Linked DNA regions of Coturnix japonica. The protein of the gene in region 1 interacts with the protein of each later gene in a biochemical or structural test. Links are inferred from orthologs where the notes say so. Each region holds a gene or a part of one and is shown on either strand. Other genes may lie near its edges.

Region 1 (8,022 bases):
CTTGGTCATGATGCTGATGTAATGCCCAGGGGGGTCTGTGGGGCGAGGGGGAGGCAGCAGGGCTGAAGTTAAACACAATAATAACACGACAGCACCCAAATGAGACCCTGCGAGGTGGCTGAGCTGCATTTCGGGCCTGAGCATCCACAGTTGGTGCCCGTCCCATGATGAGATGCTGGGAGGAGGAACGTTCGTTCTGATTTACAGAATAACTCTTCCTCTGTGCTGTTGTTTATAATAACTTCTTGGATGCTCAGCAGAGAAACCCGACTCCTTTCCCAGAGAGGATTTTCCACCCCCCCCCAGAAGCGATGCTGGTCCTGCTGTTATTTGTAGGGTCACCATCCCAGCCTGTTTGTGGGCAATGAACACCCCAAACAGCCCAGTCAGATCCTCCTTTTTGCTGACTATGCTCTTTTCCACCTCCTGTAAGCCCAGACCTGGCAGCCCCCATCTCCTGCCTCCAAAAAGGGACAACCACAGCAAGAAATTGTTTGTTTTTCCTCTCCTCCCCTTTGCCTCTCTGCCTGCCCGGGGAGCTGCCAGAGAAGATTTCCTTCTCATGCACCGTGAAAATTAGAATAATACCAAGCCAGGCCTGCTCCCCGCCGTGCTGTTTGTGCAGGTGTGCAGGGCTTAGCTGAAAAAAACCCACTTTTATGAGCCTGAATGAAGGGAGTGGGGCTGGCTCCTTCCCCCAGCACCCCCTGCAAGGGAGAATCATGGAATGGTTGGGTTGGAAGGGACCTTCAAGCCCCCCCTTCCCCCAGCTCCAACCCCTGCCATGGGCTGGATGCCCCCAGCAGCTGGGGCTGCCCACAGCTCCATCCAGGGATGGGGCATCACCAGGGATGGGGCACCTCCACCAATTGGAGAAAGCTGGATCCAAGCTGGCAAAAGAGACCTGAAGAGACACAGGAATCCCAGATCCATCCCAACTGTTCCCACCTCAGTTTGTCCATGTGCAGAACTGTCACAAAGGAGGGGAGCATCACCCCAGGCAAAGGGTTTGGGGCCACAGGTCTTATTGGAAGTGGTGGGAAGTGGGGAAGGACATGCTGGGCCCAGCAGTTGCTAAGTGACCCACGTATAAACACAGCCATCCAAGCAACATGAAGCTAATGGGAGCCATGTGGAGGCAGGAGGGGCCCAGCACCCCCAACCCATGCATCCCAACCTGAGCATCCTCAGCAGGAAACTCCTGTCCAAGCAGCCAACCAACCTGCAGACCTGAAGGGCAGACAAAGCTGGAAAGCAAAGAGGAGATGCCAAAGAAAGAAAGAAAGAAAAAATCAAGGGAAAATGGGCTTTTTCCCTCTTTTCTGTCTGCAAAGACAGCCAGATGTCTTGGCCAACTTCAGCTTCATAGGAGCTGACTCACTGCTCTGCAACATTCAGCTGCGCCCAAAGAGACACCCGCTCCGTGCTCGTGATCCTAAATGCTTCCTACAGGTAGAAAAGCCTTAAGAAAAGGGCAAAAAGCAAACACACACAAAATGTCTATCTATCTATATATATGGGAGAGAACTGGGAGGATGGAAGGAGGAGGAGGGATGGGTTGTTTTTGTTTTAAGTTCACGTGTTCAGGATTGCAAGCAGGCAAGAATACAGACAGACACCGCTTGCCTTCACCCTCAGAGCGGGGCCAGAAGGAGATGAGGTCAAAGCCATAAAATCAGCCCTTTGTTCAGCACTGCTCCTATGGAACATGGTCCTGGAGGGACTATGGAGCCTCGTGTGCCCTCACAGGGTGGAATTTTCCACAGCCTCCTCCTGGCACAGCTTTGCCTTTCCTGGTGCTGGAGGAAGCGGCTCCAGGTATGGGGTCGGGATAATGGACCCAACGTGAAGGCTTGGAGGGATGTGGGTTTCCTGCTGTGTCCATCCAGGATGCTGGTTGGGATGGGGACAGGCTGCCCTCAGCCCCTCGGATCCACCTGGATAAAGGCACAGGGATGGGATCGCTCTGCTCACCCCCAGGTGGCCCAGCCAGCAGTGGATGCCAAGCATTCCTCACGGAGCCAGGCAGGATTAGGGGTGTTTGAGCAGATTAGGAGCATAATTAACACTTGGTTCTGCTCCCAAAACTTGGGAGCAATTAAGGGAGGGTGGCTCCACAGGTGACCCCGAAGCCCAGGGACCCAGGGACGTGTCACCATCCTTATGTCAGGTCCTTGTTTGCTGCTTGGTGGCTCCGCTGATCCTAATTCCTTCCTTTTGTTTCTGATCCCAGTGTTGCCACCCCAAACCCTTTCCCACACGGTTGCACAGACCTCTCACTGACCCAGGCTGGCCACTGGTGCCGTGTTTACTTGTTTGCACGCAATGGGGCTGGGACGAAGCATGGCTTCTCCAAGGAGGATCCCTCTGAGATTGGCTTTTCCCAGAACCCAGGGCTGGGCTGGATGTTATGGGGTCAGTTGAGTCAGAGGCTCCAGCTGAGGAGGTTTCCCATGGGACAGGCAAGAAGCAGAACCCCCAGGCTGTTGCTCCTCACGTTTCAGCACAGAGTGAAACACTCAGCACAGCTCAAGCCAAAAGCCACAGGATTTCATCACTATTGGGGTCAGTAGGGCTCCTAGCTGTGGTGTCCCTGCTGGGCCTTCTGCCGGGGCTGATGGAGCACACGTCCAGCCCATGGGTGTAGGGTGAGAAGGGACACGACACACAGCCTCCCCATGAGCACAGCGTGTCCCCATCCCACAGCACACATCTACTCTATAACCTACTATATAACCTATATACTATATAACCACAGGAGGACTCAGGGCAAGGCATAAAACTACCCCACAAACACAGCAGGACCTGGGATGTGGCACACAACCAACCCACCACATGCACCCCAAAGTTGTAGGATCACTTGGAACATGGCACAGAGCCACCCCATGATTGAGACATGGCACAGAACCATCCCACAAATACAGTGTGTCCCCATCCCTTGGTACACGTTTCACCCACAGCTGTAGGAGGAACTGGAACACTGCAAAAGCCCATTCCATGGCCACAGAAGGAGCTGGGACACAGCATAAAGCCACCCATAGGTGTAGGAGGACCTGGGACACAGCACAGATCCACTCCATGGATGCAGCAGGACCTGGCCATGGCACAGACCAACCCCATAGACACAGCAGGACCTGAGACATGGCATCAAGCTACTCCATGGACACAGTAGCACCTGGGTCATGGCACAGACCAACCCCATGGACCCATGGGACAAGGCAGAGCCCCACTTCACGGACACAGTAGGACGTGGGACAAGGCATCAGTCCACCCCATGGACGAAGCAAGACTTGGGTCATGGCACAGACCAACCCCTTGGACACGGCAGGACCTGAGACATGGCATCAAGCCACTCCATGGACACCTGGGTCATGGCAGAGACCTACTCTATGCCTGACCACACTGGGATGTGCACCTCTTCATCCTCCACCACCCAGCTCATCCTTCCCACATCACACAGGGTCTCCGACCATGACAACATGACCACCAGACCCTGGTGCAAAGAGCTGCTACATCCAAGAGCCAGGAGCACCCCGAGCCCCACTTCACCCCTATAGGGCCCCACAACTCACCCCGTCCTCCATGGCTGGGCCTGTAGACGCTGCCCACGCTGAGCCGTGCCTGGCTGTCAGGTACAGCCTGTGCCACCTCGGGGCTCCTGGCCGGGACGAAGACATCGGGACGCACCGCCCCGTAGGGTTCCAGCGCCCTGAAGGGCGGCTGCGCCTCGTAGGGTTGGTATTGATTCCCATATGCCGTCCCGCTCACCGGCTGGGACCCGACGGGACCTTGGAGGTTATCGTTGGTGACGGCCGAGCCGCGCTGGTTGGTGCCGTACCCATCTGCAGTGCCGTGCTCCGGGACCGTCCCAGCATCGTGGTACAGGCTGTGCGAGTAGCGGCGGTCCAAGCCATCCTGCGGGGCAGCGTAGGGCCGCTCCGGGTAGAAGCCCTGCGCCCTGTAGGGGCTCTGCTCCTCCCCGTAGTCCTCGTAGCGGGCTCGGGGCTGGAAGGGGTACAACACCCCGGCCCCCGCCGCCGCCACCGCCACCCCACCGCCCCCTCCGCTTCGATAATACGTGTAAGCTTCGTCGTAAGCCCTCGGGGCCGCCTCGTGCTGCTCGAAGGGCGGCTGCGGGTAGGCGGCGTGTCCCGCGGCCGCGTAGGCGAAGGACGAGGCGGCCGAGGATGATGATGATGAGGACGAAGGCTGCCGCGGTCTCCCCGCCGCCCTCGCCCGCTGCGCCGCCCCGGCCCCGCCGCCGTCCCCCAGCGGCCCGTCCCTCCAGTTATCGGGCACCTGCCCGAAGCCGAACGGGTGCCGCGTGTGCCCTCGCACCGTCTCGGATGCGCTGCGCACCGGGGCCGCTTGCCGCCGTACCCCGGCCCGGCCCAGCACCAGGCGTGCTCCCCCCGGCCGCTCGGGGCCCGGCGGTACGTACTCGGCGCCGCTGTTGAGCAGGCTGTACACCCTGCCGTTGTTCTCCCACTGGATCAGCTGCCTCCACGGCTCCCCTACGCCGCCCCCCGCGGCCTCCTGCCCGGCCGCCAGCAGGCACACGGCGCAGCTCAGCGCCGCCCACAGCCCCCAAGCCCCGCGGAGCCCCATCGCCGCCCCGCTAGCGGCCCCCGGCCCCCGGCCCGCCGCCTCTGCCCATCCCCGGCGCGGTTCGGTTCGGTTCGGCTCGGCGCGGCGGCCGCGCTCGCTGCGGGGCGGCGGGATGTGGGGGGCGACGCCGGGTCCTAAGCGCCTCCTCCGCCCCCGCCCGGCAGAGGGAGGAGGGATTGGGATTGAGAAAGGGGGGGGGGGTCCGAGTGTCCCTATCCCAGATCCCGCCCCAACGCCTCCCCGCACCTCGGGACCTCCCCCGGCATCCCTCCCAACATTCCTTCTCCCCCATCCCCCCCCCCAATACCCCCCAAATATGAACCCCCAAAGATCCCTCCCCAATATCCCTCCCAATATGAACCCCGAAGATCCCCCCAGTACCCCCCCCCAAATACCTTCCCCAAGCACCCTCCTCCCAAGTACTCCCAGCCAGAAACCCCCCCAAGCACCCCCCACCAAATGCCCTTCCCAAATATCCACCCTCCCAAAACACCTCCCCCTAAATACCCCCCAATACTCTCCCTAAACCCTTTCCATACGCCCCCATAAAGCCTCCCCTCCCCAAACTCCTCCCCCAATCATCATCCCAAATACCCCCTTCTTAAATACCCTAACCCCCAAATACCCTCTCCCAAACACTCCCCCAAATGCTGCCCCACCAAAATACCCACCCCCCACATACCCCCTCCCCAAACTATTGTTCCCCCTGAAGCACAATCCCCCGACCATATATCCCCTAAATCACAATAAATGACACTGTTCCCAATCAGGATCAAAAGCCACAGTGGGATTTTCACCCTCTGCCTTCAGCCCCCTCCCCCAGCTCCCCCACCCAGTGCTTTGAGTCCAATCCTTCAGACATAAAACCACTGTGAAATGGCTCCAGAAGAGGGATGTGGACCCAAGACCCCCCCACCCCCCTCCCTCCAGCACGGGGGTGAGGGGCACAGTGCCCTCTCAGTCTTTAACTGCGCCCCAAAGTGGAGATTTTCCCCCTTAGAGTCAATGTGGGGACACCCGGAGATGCTCATCCCACCCCCCTTGGGGAAGGAGAGGCACCCAAAGCCTCGTCCCTGCTTCCCTGTTGCTTTAAGTGCCGGCTGTGCGTTTTCCACGTGGAGATTTTTTTCCTTTTCTCCTTTTATCCCTCCCTTCCTCCCCTGCCTAGACTATGGGGCCAGCACGGGGACGGATAGGGACGAGCTCCCGAGCAGGGCTCGCTCCAGCACTGGGCACCACCACGGGGACCGAAGTGACCCCCCCCGGGTCCCCCCAACAGCTGCGTTCCCCACCCCCCTATTTCTTTCCTTCTTTCTTTCTTTCTCCGTCCTTCCCTCTGCGCTCCTCCCTTCTCCCCGCAGGGACTGGAAATACCAGAGTTGATGTCATAGGCAGCGGCTCGCCAGGACGGGAAGCTCAGCCCAGCTCCCCCCCCCCCCCGCTGCGTCCCCATGTCCTATAGCTCTGTGATGTGGGATTCTGTCATGGAAGGGGATGTGGGGTCGTGGGGTGATGAGGATGCTCCCCAGCCCTGCACACAGCCCGGCTGGAGGCACACAGCCCCACAGCCAGCTTAGCCCCCTTGGCTGTCTTCAGACCCCCCCTTGACTCCAGTACCCCATACCTGGGTGTCCCGCATGGCTCGCTATCCCCTCCCCTAGCACGAAGGCACGCTGAGCAGGACCAGCAGCTCTGTCACATCACCCGTGTGACAACACTGTGGCATTAGGGACACCATCCCCACCTCCTTCACTGGGGGACACAGGATCCCACCCCACATCCCCAATGGGGTGGCCACGTTCTTGTCCCCAAGAAGGACCCTGGGCCACCAGTGGAGGCGGTGACACTGCAGCACAGTGGGGGGAGGGGGGGCAGCACCCACTAGATGGTGCCAGCAGCCCACACTTGGGTGGGGACAGCCACCCCCTCGGTGTCCCTCCAGTCCCCTTCTCATCTGCTTTACCTCTCCCCCCATAACCAAACCACTTCTGCACTGCTTCCCCACCGATGTGGTTTCCGGCCTGGTTTGGATCGATGCTTGCTTAAACTCTTAGGGTTTCCCAATATCACGGAGCTGTGCCAGGCTTCCCTCCAACTTCTGCATCCTCACTCAGGCGAAAAGAAGCACTTAAATAGGACTTTCCCTTCAGTTTTAATGCAAGATTCAGTGGATTCCAACTCTCCTCCCAGCTGGCAACTGGGGGCTTCCCGTTCATCCCATTATCCGCCCAATGCTCACCCATGGGAGCGACCAAAAGCCAGTGGTGACAACATCTGTGGGTCACCATGAGGATTCAGGGGGTTCCCCGACCTTCATTGCTTTCTGCAATACATCACCTCCATTACACCCACAGGAGGAATCCGTGCTGCTGAGCGTGGTGACTGCTCGCTCTGGAGTGGTAGGTGTATAAATATATAGTGAATAAAATGAATAGTTTTGTTTGTTCTGCTCTTATCTAATTTAATAGCTTCTGGGTGAGCAATTACGCTCTGTAACAAGAGCAAATAAGCAGCATTAACGTAATTGGTTGAGTATTACTGTGCTTTATGCTCCATAATGCAGCAGTAGGACCGTAGCACTTACTCCTAAAAGAGGTCTTTGTGCCCTGCTCAAAATAAACAGCTATCCAGCAGCTGGCCCAGGGGTTAAAAGAGAAGGAAAAATGGAGGAAGGAAAGAAAAATAGTCTTCAGCCAGCCAGGCTACGTACATGGGTTAAATGGTCATTAGTGCATCTCTATGCTTGGAATCATATCTGGGTTAATGTGCCCCGTGATGGACATCTCCATTAAGAGCAATTGAAAAACACGATGGGAACTGTCTGGGGAAAAAGAGAAATGTGCTCTGGGCATGGGGGGTGGGGGGGAATCTGACATCCTTCAGCTTGTTTGGTCTCTGGGATGAAGTGAGGGGCAGCTCCAGATGTGGTGATGTTGGCACTGGGGAGCAAACACCCTTTTCTTCCAGCATCAACACCCTCAGATCTCATTTCTACACCTCTAGAAGTGAAAGTCTGATTCGTCCTGTGCCATGCAGGAGGACCCCCCCAACCCCAAAGCCACCTGGCCCCTGGTGGCACCCCATGGTGAGCGCAGTGCCCATCCCTGTAAGCTGGTTAAGTTGGCTCCCAGCTGCTACAAGGCTGATTACCACTATGCTCCCGTTGATCCCATGAAAGCCGCCTCATACCGTGAATCCGCCCGTGCCACTGCATCTAAACCCAGCCAAGAATAGCATCAACCCCAAATCGGATCACGCTCATTGACTAACCTCGCTAATCCTATGGAGGAAAAAAAACCCAACCCTATGGGGTTGGGGAATTTCTGATGTAAGCACAAATCCAGCTTTGTTTTGTTAAAAGCAAACTCCTCTTCCTATAGACCCACTGGCTGCTGTGGCTCAGGAGGAGGAAGA
Region 2 (7,922 bases), on another chromosome or scaffold:
GCCTGGCACATAAAGGAAGCTATTGTGCAAAGAAATCATCTGAACGGGGAAAAATAAAAAGTGGATTTAGAGCATGCATAAAAAATGTCACTTGTTTTTTGAGGGAGTCATATATTATTTAGTTTGATGTAAAAAACACTATTACTTTGAAGCAGCAAACTCCAGGAAGGGGTTATGTTACTGGGGCTTTGAAAACAGATGTTCCTACGTGAGTGGAACCAGGGTTTGCTGTAAAATTGCATATGTTAACATTGCAAAACCTCACCCTCTGAAGAGAGCTTTAAAGATGTGAAGGCATGTTAGAACATTTGTCTTTTACTAAGTAGAAGCAGAGCTTTGAAACGTCTGTCCGGAACAGCAGACTATGAGTATTTAAAGATCAGTTTCTGAGGTTGAAACTAAATGCAGTTTGTTTTCCAGCAGTAGCTGATATACATAAAGTGGGACCTGCTTTCCTATGAAAAGGAGCATTTACATTACCTCTGATAAGAGAGGCCTAAGAAGCGTTGAGAAGGAGCTGCCTGGAGAACCAGCAGCATCCCAAGCACTGTGTATCCCATGCCCTCAGCTCTGCCCACTCCTGCTGGGTGCAGAGCAAGGAACAGGCACCACCTGCTGGCTACACACCCGCACGGGAATGTGCTGCCAGGGAAGGAAAAAGACAGCTTGTGCCAGCAAAGTACTTCAGGTGACAAATGGATGGCTATGTGATAATTGAATACAAGGAGAAAGCAGTCTTGGGCAACGGTGCTCATCGATGCAGCCTTAGCAATTGCCAGTTTGACCCAGACTAGTGGGATTAGTAATGACTTTACAACAGGAAAGAGTTCATGGGATATCCATGATCACTCCTGGACCAGTAAAATGAGTGTATTTGCTTTGAGTAAGTTAACTTCATGAAAAAAAGAAAGACAGCAAAAAACAAATGCAGCTCCCACAGGCCAGTTTGTTGCTCTGCAAGTCTGAGTGTAAAAAATATCTCATACTGAAGGTTTAAATGGCACTCAATAAAAGTACAGTCCTTCTGTCAGAAAGAAACGCAGCTACTCCAGTTTTTTTCCCAGCCAGTGCCAGACTTACCCGCATGTAGAATTCCCTGCCCTCGTTCCCTGATTTGATTTGGAAGATGTAATAGGCTCCAGGGTAGCGAGTTGTTGCTTGCATCTGAAAGATGTCAGAAGGCACTGAACGCCCAGACAGAACATCCATGACTCTGTACAGGATGGTGAATGGTTGATCTCTGCAGCCGGGGTTTTCAGCTGGACACATACAGCGGCTAACAGAGAGACAGGACTGTCATCAGTGGTTACAAATCCCTGTAACACTTCATTCTTTACATTCTAATACAGCTGCAAATAATCAGGTGATCAACCAATGAATCAAGTTGCCAACAGCTAAAATGATCAATTTTGCTTGTAATGAATTTTCTCTCTGATACTGTTCTCTGCACTGCTACTCCAGTTTGCCTTCATCCCTGCTTTCTTTTTCTTGTCTTCCAGGTTTTGCCAAGGTATCTTGGCGTCACATTTGTCATTAGATCACTGAAAATTCAATACTTTCTTTAAGGAAGATCTGCAGGTGTAGAATGCCTTGTGTGTGTTTGTTCTGATAGTAATTTAAACTGGTAATTATTGGATCATTTCAGTAACAGTGTGACATAAATACTGTATTAGTGGTTTAATAAAAACAAACAGTGAGACTTCCTGGATTGGAACCAAAGCTCATAGATCAATCACAAAGCTCTAAAGAGGAGCAGAACAGCAAGTCAGGCATATGACATCTCCACCAGCAGCCTCCAATCATCTGCAACCTCAGGAAACCCTTGAAACAAAGATGTCTTCTGTATATTTGCCTTCCCTCAATGTATTTCTTACCCACTGACATGTTCAACTTCCCCTTACACCTCCATGACACCTTGCTGCCAATAGCTCCAAAGTCCCTCCCTGCGTGCCCACCTCCCTCCCTGCACTGCCCCTTGCTGACTTTGATCCTCTCAGCTCTTGAGAGCACACCCAATCCCTGCTCATTCTCCACATGCAGCTCATAGCTTCATATTTGACTTTCTTTATGGCTGGAGAATCCTAACCTTGATGCTTCTTACAAGGAACCGGTTCCCTACTCTTGATGGTCTTTGTCACCCTTCATGAATCTTTGTCTGGTCATATCACAGGTAACAAAACTGGTGACAATCTTGAAGATATAGGTACACAGTTGTACTTAGTACTACAGATCATGGAACCATCTGGAACAATCTTTAAACCTCACTTTGGAGGGACTATGATCAGGTCATTACTTTTTATTTTATTTAACTTGTGAAACTCGGATTGTTTTTCTACTTTACATTAATATACACTGAATTTGAATTTAACATGATCGTTGAGGCTCCTTCTGCAATTCTCTTCTCATCTTTCAACCTCTTATTCATCTGTGCCAGGTATTTCTTACTTACGGCTGCTTAATTTCCATAGAAGCCTGAAGTAGGGCTCTTTTCAGAAACCTTTGGAAACCCAAGCAGACCACATCAACCCATGTCCCTTAGCCACAAGCTGCTAATTTTTTCAGAGACCTCCAATAAAATGCAGGATATCCCTTTATAAAAGCCATGTTGGGGAATTTACTGGATGGAAAATAAGGCTTTTCTGTCTATTTTTTTAAATTTTTTCTATAACCTCCATCATTGACACCAGCTTCAGACAGTTCCTCTGGCACATTCTACATAAAACAGTTCCTGGCATTATTAACACCCCATTCCTTCCACAGAGAACACAGATGCAATGAATTTGCTTGACTTTTATACTGACCACTTCTAGACATATGCCACAAATTAAATGCAGTCACATCTAGATAGGAGCCAAAGCCACCAAATACAAAGCTTGGAGATCAAGAACTTTGGTGCAAGCTGATTTGTAAATACTCCACAGTTAGGCTCTGAGGCATTTAGATACAGAGGCTTTAGACATTTCAAGACCTAGTTTAAGATTTCAACTCCTCTGAAGGTACATAGACCCAGAACTGGCTGAACAAAACTTGTCTGCTCCTCAGCTGCCTAGCTCAGAAAGCAATGTATGGACACAAGTGCATTGTCATGGGATGCACTAAATTCTTCATCTCTTTCTTTTGTATAAAATGCATAGGCTACCAAGTAATTTCAAGAAATTGGATTTAGAACAAACATGGATTAAATTCTATGACTTGCACCACACAGAGATCTATCTGAGGCTGAAATATTTTAAGCTCCAGGCAAGTACCTACAAAAATGTAAAAGAACTGAGCACTACTTAGAAATGTGTATTGCACCACCGTCCCTCCTCCCTGGCAAAATGTATTTGCTCAGATGATTCTGAGTTTAGACACTAACAGCTAATTGTCCCATTCAGAATTACCCAGTTTTCAGACTGTGCAAATCACTCTGTGGACTGCTGTTTTTCCACACATCTAACCCTTGAGCAGTAGGAATCTACTTGTGTTCTGCTATAACTAGCATCTAATGTTTTTAAAGCACTTCCTGGACATGAGCTAGTTAGTATTTACAGGAAATATTCACATTAACAAACAGGCTGCATTTAAGCATATATGAAGTCAGTAACATAATTAAAGTGTCTTTAGTACATTACAAACCTTGCTGTTTCCTCTACTCACTGATAAAGTGTTTTTCCAGTCTAACTTCCCACACATCTGAGTATCTTATCATATCCCACCTGGTGACCTGGTAAGGAATTGCAATTTATTATTTGTATAAAGCTTACTAATGGTAAACTCTCCAGACATACTTCATGGCTCTGTTGCAAAAAGCAGCTTAGTTGGCTCACCAGGTATGCTTTATGCAGTTAGAATTTGTGGCTGTGGGTATTACTTACTTCTCATTAATCTGGATATAAGGTTCCTCACATCTTACTGGATCTAAACATTTATAATCTCCTGGGATATTGTAACATGTTTGCTGTAGAGTGCAGGTGAAGTTTCTAATTTCACATTCATTGATATCTAAAATACAAAAAAGCAAGAGAAAAGATAAAATAGCTTAAGACACTGCTATTCAGCTATTTCTGTCCAATGTCCATTGTAAGGAATTGACCAAAAATTTACTCTTGCACCATAAGAAGTGGCTTTTGATAACTGGTCCCACTTTTAAGATTAGTTTTCACCCCATTAATTTCCCCTGGTTGGAGTCCTCCCCTATGCAAAATGCTATAGAAGTAAAAAAGAAACTGCTGCTCAAGCTCTCTAAGCTTAGAAAAAAGTGAAAACTAAATAGAGACGTGCAGCAGAGAGGAGAGCATCTGAGGGCTTTACTGTGTAGCTGGTTATTAGTAGAGCCCTCCTTAGACCATCACACCAATTGACCTCATTGGGACTGCTCATGTGATGACGTTCTCACCAGAATCACATAATTGGCCCCTATGAGTATGTCACTATGCAATGCCAAGACTAAGAAACTGAGTCCTTGAAAACCACTTTCCAGATACTGGACTTATTTTCTAGTCCCTCTGGGTTTTAATCAGTGCTGCAATGCTCTTACCTTGGCAGCTTCTGCTATCATCAAGCAGGTTATAGCCCGAAGGACAGACACAGTAGTAAGAACCAGGCCCATTCACACATTCATGCTGGCAGAGGAACTCTGAGAAGCTGCATTCATCCATGTCTGTGGTGGTAAAACAAAGTTTAGAATCTTTGGCTTCACAGTTAAAAGCATAGTCCCACAAGCAGGTGGCCATCCAGACGTGCCTATCATCCCAGCTGGAGGCTGGCATCATCCAATTCCCTGGAGCTCTGAGGCAGCCTGGCAAAATGCTGTTAAACAAGATCTTGGCTAAATTCTTTATTATTTTATTTTATTTTATTTTATTTTATTATTATTTTAACCAAAGCTTCTGCTCAGCAAGATGCATGACTCTTACTTATTTTTCTTTCTGAATACCTGTCATCAGTTGGCCATATTTTCTGTTCTGTTTTACGTCAGAGATAGAGGTGCTCCAACTACAAAGCTACAACTGTAATTTGTAAGGAGAGACTTGATGGTATTTTTTTACTTTTTAATTTTTTTTCTTTTTTCTTTCTTTTTTTTCTTTTTTTTTTTTTTTTTCCTGGAGAGTGTACTTCCCTTTCCCAGAGCCTTATGGGTCCCAGTAGAAATCCTGTAGCCAGCCCTGGCTGTTTTATGTTACTTAGCCTCTAGCCAGTTACTTGTAATGCATTATAGCAAGACTTCAGAGCTCATCCCAGCTTGGGTCAAACTTACTGGAAGGCCCAGTGATCTCCCACATACCAAGGAAGCTAAGCAGTCTGTCCAGTCTCGGACTAAAATCAGTTTATGATCTCTTTTCCCCTTTTACTCATGAACTGAAAAGAAATCTTATACTGTGGAACCATTTTCAAATGGGAAAGATGCACTTCGGAGCTGCAATGGAAGCATGGCTGACTGAGAGGAAAACACATGCAAAGGCGCTAGAATGAGGGAGGCTGCTGTTAATCATTTCCTTCTTTTTCTGTGCAGGGGAAGAGAGAAACAAAGGCCAGAGTCCCAGCCAGGAACTCCCAAGTTCGAATTCCCAGCTCTAACATTGACCCTCAGAGCAAATCACTTTTACTCTTCAGACTGAATTTCCCTTTCTTTTAAATTGGACTCCGTCCATTTATCCACTTCTGGTGTTTCGTACAGATGTACTGGAGAGTGTTTGAAGTCCAAATACACTAAAATAGCTTTATGTCCACAACTACATTATCAAAAGAGATGAAGGGAACTCTATACCTGCACACTCCTGTTATGTCACTTGCTTCAACGAGTTCTCTGAAAAAGTCACCTTCCTGACAAAACATGGACCAGGGGCTGCCTCCATAAAGAGACTAAGACATTGCCCAGCTCTCTAAGCCTTCTAGCCCAGCCTTCCAGCACCATCAGATTCATAGACTCTGTGCCCAGCTGATGTCAAATGATGGAGATAAAGGCACAAGGGCCATATGTTTCTGTTTATGAGTGACACAGGGCAGATACCTTTGCTATTTCTAAACCCTTCTGCAGTACTACCAACTATGCTCACTGGAACTGCTTCCTTGGTGAGCTTCAGTGATGTCTAGCAATTGCTTGTGAAGTGAAGGAAGTTTATCCAGAGGAATACGATCTGCTTGTGACAAGTGTTTTCTGGCATAGAAGGGTTAAAGGAAGGTTTTCTGCCCTAAATCTGGGTGTTGGAAAATCCTTATTGCTGGCTTAACTTTCATCCATAAATGAAGTTCAGTCACAACCTTTACTGCTGCTATTCTGTTCAGGCAGTGTTTCTGTGGCTCTAGTTTAGGGTTAGGTTTAGACACCCAGATAGCTCAGAAGCATGGACAAGGGCACAGGAGTCTAACTTAGAAGAAGAAATTTCATTAGAAAGCAGAAATCTTAAGTTATGTGCTTCAGCTTTAAATATATATATACACACACATATATAAATACTAAATAAATATAAATATATAAATATGTATAATATGACCCTTTAGAGATTTCAGTCTTTGTACTTTCCTTCAGAATAAGGAGATTTGCATGAAAGAATAGCTTTGGGAACTCTAGTCCATACACATACTGCATATCACGTCTTCTCCCTCAGAAACAGCATGTTACATCTGTTTACTGTGAATTAAAAAACAAGTATTTTCCAGTGTTTTTTCTTCCAAAAAAATACTGGCCATGTTCTCTAATTTTCTCAAGCTGTGGGAACATTAAGCACAGAAATACATTTCATCTTCAATTAAAAAAAAAAAAAAAAAGGAATAAAATAAAAACAAAAACAAGAGAGGAAAAAGTAGAGTGACATAAGCAGTTTCATCTGCTATGAGATGAACAGATCGGCAATAACTGCTAAGAAATGGTACATGATTTCTGAAGTGCAGACAGAGCCATGCAGGGGAAAAAATGTGTGAAATTATAAGAGCAAAAAGAATACATACATTCCACAAATGGAAAAGTGCTTTATGCAAGAGTATTTCTTTAATTGTGGAAAAATGTTCTAGGACTGTCCCTGGTTTACTTGCTTTAGTACGATTCCCATTCAGCACTGGAAACCATTTCCTTATGTTCTGCTGTTATCTTGGAGCTTTTTAATATTTAGCTTAGTTCTTTACAACCTTTTGCAGCCCTCCTCCACTGCACTTTTCTTGGTATTTGCTGCATACCGTAACTGGAAGGAAGATCACATTAGTTGCAGTTATTCTGCTGCTAACTATAAACCAAATCAGAAGACTTCTTAGAAAAGCATATGCAAAACAGGACACTGGAAAAAGAAAGCATAATTGAATTAAAGAAAACAAAACAATAAATAACTGAAGACAGTTACCACTGCAGTTAACTCCGTCAGCTTCCAGTTCGTAACCAGGTTCACAGCGGCAGAGAAAAGAACCATAGGTATTGACACAAGTCTGAGAGCAAGGGTTTTCTCCCGTACATTCATTCACATCTACAGGAAGACAATACGCTGCATCAGTAACTTCTCTCCAAACTCTACTTTCAGTTCATTACTGTAAAGAATTTCAAGGAGATTACCTTTATAGTAAAAGTAATTTGTTCTGAAAAATATAACAAAGTCAGTATTATTTATTGAGGTAACAGATGATGCCAGAAAGAATGTGTTGGAAACAACACACATGGAAACAAAGCATTTTGGCAATGTCTAAAAAGAAAATAACATGAAAGATAGGGTGAAATATTTATTATGAATACTTGTCTCTTTATCTTGTAACATTAAAATCATGGAAAAGATTTTGTCATAACCAATCTGACACAAGATGCAGTAGGATACACCTTAGGGTGATAACACAATGAGGAATAACCCTTATGGGAACTTTGGCTGTGCCAAAACCATTTTTAAATTCATTTATGACATTAACAACTTCTGGAAAGTCTATAATCATTGTCATAGATCATCTTACAGAGAGGTTGTGTT

What was found.
Region 2: the proteins of LOXL1 (region 1) and FBLN5 form a complex in vitro, tested with the Homo sapiens proteins (2 studies listed by BioGRID and IntAct). The link is inferred for Coturnix japonica from reciprocal best matches to the Homo sapiens genes LOXL1 and FBLN5.

Annotation. Positions count from the first base shown.
Region 1 is NC_029525.1:1,660,474-1,668,495, reverse strand, and holds the start of LOXL1 (lysyl oxidase homolog 1), read right to left. Parts: upstream 4,762-8,022; 5' UTR 4,609-4,761; coding exon 3,573-4,608; intron 1-3,572. UniProt on the Homo sapiens protein: Catalyzes the oxidative deamination of lysine and hydroxylysine residues in collagen and elastin, resulting in the formation of covalent cross-linkages, and the stabilization of collagen and elastin fibers.
Region 2 is NC_029520.1:40,338,731-40,346,652, forward strand, and holds part of FBLN5 (fibulin-5), read right to left. Parts: intron 7,437-7,922; coding exon 7,317-7,436; intron 4,643-7,316; coding exon 4,520-4,642; intron 3,985-4,519; coding exon 3,858-3,984; intron 1,277-3,857; coding exon 1,081-1,276; intron 1-1,080. UniProt on the Homo sapiens protein: Essential for elastic fiber formation, is involved in the assembly of continuous elastin (ELN) polymer and promotes the interaction of microfibrils and ELN. Stabilizes and organizes elastic fibers in the skin, lung and vasculature.